Mus musculus: one gene and its partners. The protein of the gene in region 1 interacts with the protein of each later gene in a biochemical or structural test. Links are inferred from orthologs where the notes say so. Each region holds a gene or a part of one and is shown in the gene's direction. Other genes may lie near its edges.

Region 1 (3,778 bases):
ATCACAAAGTCCAAACAAACAGCTTCTTGGAACCAAAAAGAGAGGGAATGGGGAGGAGGGATGAAGAGGCAAACTCTTAATTATGAAAACTTGTTTGATGACCTTGTATTGAATGGGCCCATGGCCCTTTGGTACAGTAAGTTGTGACTTCTCAAAGGGCTAATAGTAAATTGTGGAAGCTGCTGAAATTCCATTGGTGCATTTCCCAGTTTGTCACCATGGTTTCTTGGTCCTCAGACTGCAAGGATTAAAGCCAGTTTAAGAGATGGCTTTGAAACACAGAAAAAGTGGGGGAAAGTAGTATATAATCTTGTTGTCTTAGAATAAAAACTGCGAAATGAGACCGAAGGATGTATGTTGTTCTTGGACTCAATAGCATGTGGTTTCTACTATGCAAAGAACCTAGAAACATCTTTGATTGCCTTAAATTACAACACACCCACCAAAATATGCTCTATATGTTTCTATTGGGCACAACAGGTATGCCTGGATTTTAAGTTTTGTTCCAAGGCAGGTCAGTGAAATGTAGCCCATGGAGACCACACTAGTTCCAAACCACTCTCCCTTGTGATAACCCAGAATAGTTTAAAGTAGGAATCTGTTTGCACACTACCCTGCCCTTTGGCCCAACCAAGAAGCTACTGAACTGCGTTTCAAATCCTCACGAAGGCTATTACTGTCCTGCTAGTGCCTATTTCGAGAATGGTCAACTTCTGGAGTAGTTTGGCTTAAATGAGAATGCTTCACTTTCTACTCATGCCTGTAGCTGGTGCATGAAGAAGACACAGGGTGGGGTGGGGTGGGGTTCCTCTTTGGTGCTAGATGGCTTGTTCTCTCTTCTATTTTCCTGCATTCATTTCACAATGCTTCTTTTACTTTTTGTCTCTGTGGACAAAGGTTTGTACATCAACCCTGGATGTATGGTGACTGTTTGGAAGTACCGATATATTATCAATTTCAAACCACTCTAGAAGCAACCCAAAGACCATCACCCTTGGCCAACCACCAATCCTTTGTGTCTTTCATGAAACATTGAAATGTAGTACACACATGCATTGAGGGAAAGATATTAAGCAAAGATCACTGCATGATGGTGTGTTTAAACGTCAAGTATGTTTTTCTTCATGACTCCGTGTTACTGTGGTGTGATGTACACCCTCTACTTGGCAGTGTTGTCTTGTGTCTGTCTGCCAGTATGTTTTTCTGTGTTTTGTGTCTCAAAATATAATCATGTCACTGAAATAGAACTGAATGTTCACCAGCTATCTTAAGCCTCATCTTAAATCCAATTAAAGCACAAAACAAACCAAAGATTAGTCTTGACCATTGAAATTGGCTCAATTAGCTGGGCGGTGGTGGCGCACGCCTTTAGTCCCAGCACTTGGGAGGCAGAGACAGGCAGATTTCTGAGTTCAAGGCCAGCCTGGTCTACAAAGTGAGTGCCAGGACAGCCAGGGCTACACAGAGAAACCCTGTCTCGAAAAACCAAAAAAAAAAAAAAACCCCAAAAAAATTGGCTTAATTAAAAATAAAATGCTGAATAGCTGAGGTGTGGTGGTGGCCAACTGTTTGGGTCCAGATTATGATATATCGGTATTCTCTAATGCCTCAACTTAAAACTCATTTGCTTGGTTCGGTTCTTCGCTTAAAGAAGTGATCATTTCTGTGAGCTTGCTCCTCCACCCTGGGCTTTGTCACTCACCCAATTTTTTGCATAGGCTTAAATCCAGTGATGCTTACAAAAAAGCCTGGGGCAATAATCAGGATGGAGTAGTGGCCAGCCAGCCTGCCCGTGTGGTGGATGAACGGGAGCAGATGGCCATCAGTGGTGGCTTCATCCGCAGGTGAGTTTTTTGCAGTACTCTGTTGATGGATAACCAGCACTGAACTATTTTCTTTTCTTTTACTTGCAAGGAATTTTTGGGCTCCCTCATTGGGCTATGATTAGATTATGATAGCTTGTCATTCATTATCTTGTCTGGTCTTTGGCTGGGCTATCAGTAGAGACACTTCCATCCACCTGCATGAGGTCTTCCAGCAAAGAGCTCAGGTTTCTTCATGGTAATGATAGTGTTCCAAGCAGGCAAAATCCAAGACATGATTTCCTTCTGAGCTATGGCATGGGCACAGTTTGCCATGGTGCAAAGCATGACCACATCCAGAATCAGAGTTGGTATGGAATGACATCACTTGACCTGAGTTTATTTTAGCAGAGGCCTGGTAAACAGCAAGAGTAATGTAGCATTTATAGTCTAGGAGTACCAGAAAGCTGTTACCACTCCTTTCTCAGGAGATAGGCCAAGAACAAAAGGGTTTTATGGTAGGGAAATACAGTCATAGCTAGAGTTGACTAGAACAAGAAAGAGAAGCAAATGCCCTAAACCCTGCTTTCATGACCTCCAGTCTCTCTCAGGCCACTATTCAAAGCCCACTGGAAGCCAGAGCAAACAAGGAGCCAGTAGTACAGTAATAAAGGTCAGCTTCTCAGGGCACAGAGCAGGGGAAGTCAAAGACCTGATTTAGAGTAGGAAAAGGAGGAAAAAGTGGAATACACATTAACCACTTCTTTTGAGATCTAGAAGCATAAATAAATAAATAAATAAATAAATAAATAAATACCTATTTTAAAAGCTCAAATTATATGTCAGCCAATATCTTGGCCTGAGGAAAGGAAACCACTAAGCAGAAAAACAGCCAAATATTTTCTATGACAAAGGAAAGATTAAAGTTATTATATTTTTGGGCATGCTCCCCCCAATTCATTCCATACAACCACCAGTTTGTTTTAACCAGAAAAGCGTAATTTTGTCAAAGAAAGTGTAAGCCTTATCAATTAAAACAGTTTAGACTTATTACATATCAACAAACAGTTCTCAACCTGTGAGTTATAACTGCTTTAGCAAACCTCTGTCTCCAGAAATAATTACAGTACAATTGAAAACAGTAGCAAAATTGTACTTATGATGTAGCAACAAAAATAATTTTCTATTACATGAGAATCTGCATTAAAGGATTGCAGCATGAAGCAGGCTGAGAATCAATGATATACACTGTTATACCAGAACTCAGCATAGGTGAAGATATTTGTCTTCCTAATTATTTATCTCTAAGTTATTGTAGTTATTGGCCAATCAATTATGCTGGTATTCAAATGTGAGCCATAAGTCATAGGGTCTAGATATGCCTTACAAATGACAATTCTAATTTTGCCTCCATCTGCTTACAAGGAAACTCAATTAATAATTTGTAAGCCAGTGGTTGTAAAAGTATGGACTATGGGAGATCCGAAGAAAGAAAGAAAGAAAGAAAGAAAGAAAGAAAGAAAGAAAGAAAGAAAGAAAGAAAGGAAGGAAGGAAGGAAGGAAGGAAGGAAGGAAGGAAGGAAGGAAGGAAGGAAGGAAGGAAGGAAGGAAGGGGGAAGCAGGGAAAAATGCAAGAAGGAAAGACAGAGGGACACGCGCCAATATTTAATCCACAGCAATTCAATCCAAATATCTTGACAACTGACACAAGCATCTCTGATTTGTACAGCTCTGGTGTTCCACTGTGCTTTAGGGATGGAAGTAGTTGTGGTACAGAAACTTGTTCATGGTTGATGATCACTCAAATGAAATGTAAATGATAGGAGGTTTTCTCTTAATCTTTAAATTTGCTCTGTCTCAGGCTGATATATATCTTAGTGGAGCCAAGCATAGTGGCATAGGACTCTAATCCCAGCACTCATCAGGTCTGAGTTCTCAAAGTCAGCTTGGGCTATATATGGAGACAAGGTTGCAAG
Region 2 (3,778 bases), on another chromosome or scaffold:
TATCTTCTAATACAGAACAAATCTGAAAGGCAGCCTGGGATTCACTAGACCTACCTTTCCTAAAAAAATAAAAAGGAGGTCTTATAGTCAATGCCTTGACAGTCTTTTGATATGAACTATTTTACTGAAAGCTTTTTCTTTTCCTCTAATTCACCATAGAAGTTAAAAGCAAGTTAATTAATTTTTCTAGTTTTGCTTTTATACTTCTCTTTTCCTGAGCATTTTGGCACCTTTTGTTAAGAATCAACAGTAGACATGATTGAAGAATTTCTTATTAAAAGAATATTTTAGTGAAAGACTATAAAAACACTTATGATTCTCGACAATTCATCCCCAAGCTTGCCTGCTTGGGAGTGGAATTCGATATTGCTTGCATATGACATTCATTTCTGTCAGATTGTTGGTCCCCAGTTCTTGGGATAGAGTTAGGTGTCATGTAGGGTCATGGTGCTAAGCAGCTTTCACCAGGAACTTCCAGCTATTCAGCCATTGGTACAGAATTGGAAACTCTTGCTTGGTAGGTAGACCCCAGACCGTAGTTGAAGCCTGAGTACAGGCTAACCAGTTGTTCATGAGTTCTTTGCCCTTTGGCACTCTTCTTCCTTTTCCCTTTCTGGCCTTTGAGACTCCTTTCTCAATCCCTCTATTCCCACTTTTTTTTTTTTCCCACCACACTGCCTTGCTGAGGATCTGGTTTGAGTCAAGTGATGGTAAGTGCTTTGCTGGGTTTTCTGAGAGTCCCAAGGCAAAGGGAATGAGAAAGATCTAGGCGGGTGACAGGGAATGCTCAGCTATAGATTCCCAGGAAGTAACTGGAGTGACCAAACTTCCTTGATAGGAAGTAAAAGCTGGGAAATGATCAGGATCTTATTAAAAGACAAGAGTCTAGAGGGGAAGATACAACCAATAGCATGGGGAGCCCCAACACTGCTACTTAAGGGGCTTGGTAATTTCTCTTGAAGGACTTAAGTACTTCTCCTGTTGCCGACCTGATAATTGCTGTAATACCTTTGTGTACTGGGCACCAGTTCACAGTAGTGAGCAAGCTCGGTTCACAGTAGTGAGCAAACTCAGTTCACGGGAGTGAGCAAACTCAGTTCACGGGAGTGAGCAAACTCAGTTCACGGTAGTGAGCAAACTCGGTTCACGGTAGTGAGCAAACTCGGTTCACGGTAGTGAGCAAACTCAGTTCACGGGAGTGAGCAAACTCGGTTCACGGTAGTGAGCAAACTCAGTTCACGGGAGTGAGCAAACTCGGTTCACAGTAGTGAGCAAACTCGGTTCACGGGAGTGAGCAAACTCGGTTCACAGGAGTGAGTAAACCCAGCTTAGGCTGAGTGAACTTGAATGGCTAAGAATGGGTCAGCATCCTGGTGATATTCTAAAAATATGAGGTTTTCTTATTTTGGTTCATTCCTATATGCTTAAAAAATAAGAACATTAAAGAAAAATGAGGGAGAGGGCGTCCCTTTGTGTATATTTACATGTAGTTACTGAGCACCTAGAAAACCTGCTTCAGATGGCTGGTATAATTACTCATGGAAGTAGTCCAGTAGTTATTGAATGAGTGACCACTGTTGAGGACTGGGGAATTATGGGTCATTACATGGGGAATGGGAAAGTTTGCTCTACGGAAGGCTGTGCTCTAAGGTTTCTGCATGCGCCTTGCCACTGAAGACTGTACAGTCCTTCCCACATTAGCTGGGCTATTTTGTGTGTGTGTGTGTGTGTGTGTGTGTGTGTGTATGTGGGTTAACAGGTGTGACTTGTGTCTTCTTTTTAGGGGGAGATGTTAGATAACATAGAGTTGAATGTCATGCACACAGTGGACCATGTGGAGAAGGCACGGGATGAAACTAAAAGAGCCATGAAGTATCAGGGTCAGGCTCGGAAGGTGAGGTTTTCCTTCTGTCTTCAGACAAGAGAGTCCATTTTGTTTGCTGCTGCGCTTTCTCTCTCCTCTCTTTCTGTCTCTTTCTGTTGCCACCACATCTTGCATCTGGGGAAAGGGAGCCATGATTGACCGCATTGAGAACAACATGGACCAGTCAGTGGGCTTTGTGGAACGGGCTGTGGCAGATACCAAAAAGGCGGTCAAGTATCAGAGTGAAGCCCGGAGGGTGAGCGCCTCAATCTCTGCTTGTTGTACCTTCTCTACCTGTCTTTTGTCACTTGTCTACTCTGTTCTTGAGCCCATGTCCTTCGTCTCTGTCCTAGCCTTAGCCTCTTCCAAACCCCTACCTTAGCCTTTCCTAGACTTCCCTCCCTCCCTCCCTCCCACGGTTCTGTGCATGGATCTGGCTCTCACCTGATTTTGGCCCTAGAACCCACACTCGAGCAGCCCAGTAGGCTGGCCACATGGCCTAGATCTTGTCATTAATCTGATTGTAGCTTGTGAATCCTTAACACATTACGTAGCTCCTTGGAACTCCGGAAAACAGTCTTCCACTTTGCCCAGCATTCTTTCTCTTTTTCTCTAACTTGAACCTAGCACAGTTGCTAATTGTTACATAAATATTATTACACACTCATAGAAGCACTTCCTTTCTCTACTTCTAGATGAAGTACAGGAGTTGGGCCTGGCATTCACATCCCACTAGTGTATTCTACCATGTCTCTGTGCCTGTCTTCCCTTCTGGCCTATGCTCAAGAACTTTGAAGCTTCTGTCTTCATTGACTGTGGATGCCCAGATATGGCAACCTCTGCCTTGTTTTATTCTTTGTTTCTCTTGGTCTCTGAGATTTTCATTCTTTACTTCATTCTCTTCTGCACCTAGCACGCTTGTGCAATTATTGAGGGAGTTCGCAAATTGTTTTCATCTGAATCTATGATGAACTGCATTTTGGACACCTATTCAGTATATGTAGTCTAAGGTATATAACTGGGTTTTTAAGAGGACAGATGAATACATGTTGGTAATCAGAACTGTGTTACAAACATTTTATGGATTGGTGAGGTGCTGCTGGAGACCTCATGATACTGATTGCCCTGAGTTCACATATGCAAGCATGTGAACTGAGAGCTGTAGGTTCTCCACACTTCCATTTGCTGGCACTGCTAGGCAAGACGAAATTTAAGAAATGTAAAATATCCATGAGAACATTTTTTATAGAGAGATGTATGGGTTGAGATGGTTTTCATTGTAAGAGATAAGAAAGGCTACCTTTTAGATGAGTTACTATTGCCTTTTTTTTTTTGTAATAATGATTTTATTTTTATTTCTTATTCCTTTCTCCAGAAATTGATAATTATCATTGTGGTAGTAGTTGTGTTGCTGGGCATTTTAGCGTTGATTATTGGACTGTCCGTTGGGCTGAAATAAGAGTGGCCTAAGGGGCTGCTGCACTGAAATGTAAGTAGACCAAGGGTTCTGGATTGGCTTCTCCTGAGGAATTAGTCTGGGATTTCATAACTCTACTCTTTTCTAATGACTGTCACAATGGGCTTTAAAACTGTTGGTTGCCTTAATTCTTTAATTTCCTTAAAATTCCATTCTTGGGTTCTGGCTGCAGGATACGGGTCAGGTCTTCTGGGTTTTTTGGAGCCTGATTGTTCGTTCGTTCGTTCCTTCCTTCCTTCCTTCCTTCCTTCCTTTCTTTCTTTCTTTCTTTCTTTCTTTCTTTCTTTCTTTCTTTCTTTCTTTCTTTCTTTCTTTCTTTCTTTTTTTGGGCTTTTCAAGACAGAGTTTCTCTGTGTAGCCCTGGCTGTCCTGGAACTCACTCTGTAGACCAGGCTAGCCTTGAACTCAGAAATCTGCCTGCCTCTGCCTCCCAAGTG
Region 3 (3,778 bases), on another chromosome or scaffold:
AGCAGTGCCTTCAGCCTGGGTTATGGGTACATGCCTGTCACCTACTTTAGCAGCCACTATTGCCCATCATAATCTGTTCCTGCCTGTTCATCATCTATGCATCTGCACATCTGGATTTCCCTTCCATCACCTTCGGTTCAATCCTCTGCAGGACAAAGGTCTCAGGAAGGATGCACATCTGCCTCAGGAGCACATAGATGAGCAGACACATCAGTGCACACAAACACACATGTGCAGTGGCATGAATATACACACAGATAACTAGATGAACATGCAACTACAACACAACCACTCACTATATGTGTGTGTGTGTGCATGTGCACGCGTGCGTGCGTGTATGTGTGTGTGTGGGTAAATACACAGACAAAAACCAACACATTCACTTCTCTCAAGGGATGGGCACTACTGGACTCACGGCCAGCAGAAGGGACTAGGAACCCAGAATGATGCTGCCTGATCTCTGCTGTTATTCCCAGGGGCCACCAAGGACATGGGGAAGATGCTTGGGGGTGATGAGGAAAAGGACCCCGATGCTGCTAAGAAGGAGGAAGAGCGGCAGGAGGCACTGCGGCAGGCAGAGGAGGAGCGCAAAGCAAAGTACGCCAAGATGGAGGCAGAACGTGAGGTCATGCGGCAGGGTATAAGAGACAAGGTGAGCAACTGCAAAGAGGAGAACTGCAGGCAGCAACCCTACCAGAGGCAACAGCCTCCTTCCTTGGCTAACAGCTCCCCTTTCACTCCTAATTCAGGGATCTAAACCTTGGGGACTGCACTGTTGGGGGACTATAGGTGTTTGAATCTGGTTGGGGGTCATTCTGAGGGCTGCCCTTTCCTACTCCTCATGTCAGGACTGGTTGTTCTCCTGGAGCTTTGGCCCTGCCCAGAAAGAAGACTCTAAGAGAGGAATGGGGATTGGCTGAGCTGGGAGTCTTTGTGGGTCAGGAAAATCAGGGCCAGAAGTTCCCCTTTACCTTTGCTTCCTGGACTTAAACAGGGTGGATGGGTGGTAGCCTCCCTGTTCCCAGTCACCTTTGTGACTGTCTCTGCAGGTAGTAGGGCAGTCAGAGAGCATTGTGCCTCCTATTCATAGTGGAAAAACTGAGGACCCATGTGGAATCCTGAATTGAGGACCACATACAGCCACCTCTTTTAAGAGAATGGTTCCTGCCCACTCCAGAAGGGAAGCGCCAGGCCATGGGAAGAAACGAGTCATTGAGATCCTTCCAGGCCCTGTGGGGATGGTTCAGCAGGCTTGGGTGGGTAGGTGGGGAGCAGGGAGTAGGTCACATAATCCTCCAGTCCTGGACTTGAGATGCTAAGCTGGGGAGCAGACATCCTAGGTTCTAGGTCCCCCTTCCTGCCTGTACATCCACACCAGGTTCTCTGTTGATGTGTCTGTGGTTGGGGCAGATCTTTGTGACACACAGGGAAGGAAGCTGTAACTCCTAAGATGGATAGCGGGAGATGGCCAGTAGGTGGCTGGAGACATTGGGTCCTTGATCTCACAAAGGGCCAAATGTGTAGCTGGCCTCCCCTCTCTGCCCATATTTGGCCTCCGAGGTAAGCCCTAGAATACCCTCCCTTCACACTTGGTTGTAGAGTGCTGTTTATGGGATCTGGGCTATGCACTTGACATTTGCCTTGAAGCGCTGTCACTGGGCAGTTTCCTGGGTCTTGTAGAAGGTGCTTGCTCAGTTTGCTTTGCCCCTACCTTCCACAGCCAGTGAGTCACTTATTGTGGTTAGCAAGATGTGCTATTGATCATGTGAGTGACATGGTAGCAGACCCCAAAATTAATTGTAATGTATCAAGAGGTGTGAGGATGAACATGAGAGATGGATAGAGAGTTAGAGACTGACAGACAGACAGTGATGCTAAATGGAGGGCTTAGAGGGACGGAAAGAAAAGCAAAAGAGAGCTGAGAGCCACAGAGGTCCCTCCCTAGGTAGAGTTAAGAGGGACCAGAACAAGGTTGGAGTAGGGTGCTATGCTAGATGCCCAAGTGTGCAGTGGCTCTGGCAAGTTCAGGGTTGGGGCTGGGTTTTTGGTCCAGGAGAGTCCTGTGCTTGGTTCAGTCCCCCTCAGGAAGTTCCTGCCAAATACCACCCTACCCACAAAGCTTTGACCTCTCGGTGTGTTTAAAAAATTGGGACTCAAAGAAGACAGGGTACCTTATCCACTGCTCTGTTTTTACACATTTCCCTAGAAACTGTGAAGAAATTTGTTCTTCAAAACAGTATTTCAACATGTGGGTTGAGACCCCTTGAGGGATCCAATGACCCTTTTACAGGAGTCCCCTAAGACCATTGGAAAACACAAATATTTACATTGCATTTCACAACTGTAGCAAATTACAGTTATGAAGTAGCAATGAGATGATTTTATGGTTGGGGTTCACCACAACATGAAGGACTGTATTAAAGGGTCACAGCATTAGGAAGGTTGGTAGCCACCGCTTCAGAAAGTTCAACAGCCTATGCCTGGCTGATTAGGGAAAAGAAATGCAGAATATCCAAGTGATCCCCTAAAAGAGGCCCCTCTGGTGCAGATAAAAAGGGTGAGCCCAAGAGGGGAAAGTTGTAGGGTCAAAGCCCCAGGCACTCCCAGATGCACTGGGCCCCACCCCACATCATCCCATGCTGACAGGATGGTATGGAAGCTGTCATGTTTCCAGACATCCGGTTACTTCTATATCACTGCCTGGCCACCCCAGAAGCTATCAGTCCTGACTCCTGGGCCTTCACTGCTGCTGCTCCATCTCCCCAGCTCCCATAGGTGTACATCCTGCTGGTCTGGTTGAGCCCTCACTGGGCAGTCCCTGCTACCCACTAGAACTGGATCCCCAGCCTCGCCCTGGGCTATGTGTACCCCTAGTGTCTTGAGCCTTGGTCAGAGAGAGAGAGCTGAGCAGTGTTCCAAGGCTCCTCAGTGATAAGGGGGAGAGGAAGAGACTAAGAATGGGGTCAGTTTTCATATCCTCATGGTGTGAGGCTCCTGGTAACCCATCTAAAGAACTGGGCATGGATATTCAGGATTGTCCCAGGGTGGGGCGGTTCCTGGAGAAGTATCCATATCCATTAGGAAGCCATCTAAGCAGAGTTTGATTTGCAAACCCACCATCCAGTATCTATTTCTACCACCTATTTGTGCACACAGCCAGATTTCCACACACACCTCCAGGTTTGCATATGTACTACATGCTTTGTGTATGCTTCCAGCCGCCCACAGTGAACTGTCTGTTGAGTCAGAACCTTTCTTCTGGTGAGGGGACAAGGCCCAGGTGTAGAGCTGGCATGTTTCTGCACCCACAGTTCTGTACTCACCTGGCTTCTCTCCGCCTGTATGGTGATGAAAGCTGTGCAGGTGGAGACTGGCCAGAGCTGTTGGCTCTTAGCACTCATAGCCTTTACTTAACAGTGATCTTAGGTCTTCTGTTGTCTCCTATACGTGAAACCCCCTTAATCCAGCCCTTCGGCATCTTCACCTGCCTCGGAAAGGTGTGCCTTCTAGCATACCTGACTGTTACTTCCCGTGGCCCTGTCCTTGGGCTGATGCTTCCGGACACCTGACACAATGGATACCTGGCCTGGGTTAGGTTGGCATTTATTCCTGGAGTCCAGAAGATCAGCACAGGCCACAGCACCTGAGTCTGGCTCTGGGACATAGTCTAGATGGCATCCTCTGGCAGAATAACCAGGACGTTCCCTAAGAGAGCTCAGTGTGGCTGTAGCCTCAGAGTGACCTTGATCCTCAGTGGACAGACTAGCCTTCAGGAACA

The links.
Region 2: the proteins of Snap25 (region 1) and Stx3 form a complex in vitro, tested with the Homo sapiens proteins (2 studies listed by BioGRID). The link is inferred for Mus musculus from reciprocal best matches to the Homo sapiens genes SNAP25 and STX3.
Region 3: the proteins of Snap25 (region 1) and Cplx1 are reported together in a solved structure, tested with the Homo sapiens proteins (2 studies listed by BioGRID, with this or other methods). The link is inferred for Mus musculus from reciprocal best matches to the Homo sapiens genes SNAP25 and CPLX1.

The regions. Positions count from the first base shown.
Region 1 is NC_000068.7:136,772,177-136,775,954, forward strand, and holds part of Snap25 (synaptosomal-associated protein 25), read left to right. Parts: intron 1-1,718; coding exon 1,719-1,844; intron 1,845-3,778.
Region 2 is NC_000085.6:11,781,142-11,784,919, reverse strand, and holds part of Stx3 (syntaxin-3), read left to right. Parts: exon of another isoform or gene 1-710; intron 711-1,783; coding exon 1,784-1,894; exon of another isoform or gene 1,895-2,009; coding exon of another isoform or gene 2,010-2,246; exon of another isoform or gene 2,247-3,233; intron 3,234-3,239; coding exon 3,240-3,323; 3' UTR 3,324-3,353; intron 3,354-3,778. UniProt on the Homo sapiens protein: Potentially involved in docking of synaptic vesicles at presynaptic active zones. Apical receptor involved in membrane fusion of apical vesicles.
Region 3 is NC_000071.6:108,522,266-108,526,043, reverse strand, and holds part of Cplx1 (complexin-1), read left to right. Parts: intron 1-476; coding exon 477-652; intron 653-3,778. UniProt on the Homo sapiens protein: Positively regulates a late step in exocytosis of various cytoplasmic vesicles, such as synaptic vesicles and other secretory vesicles.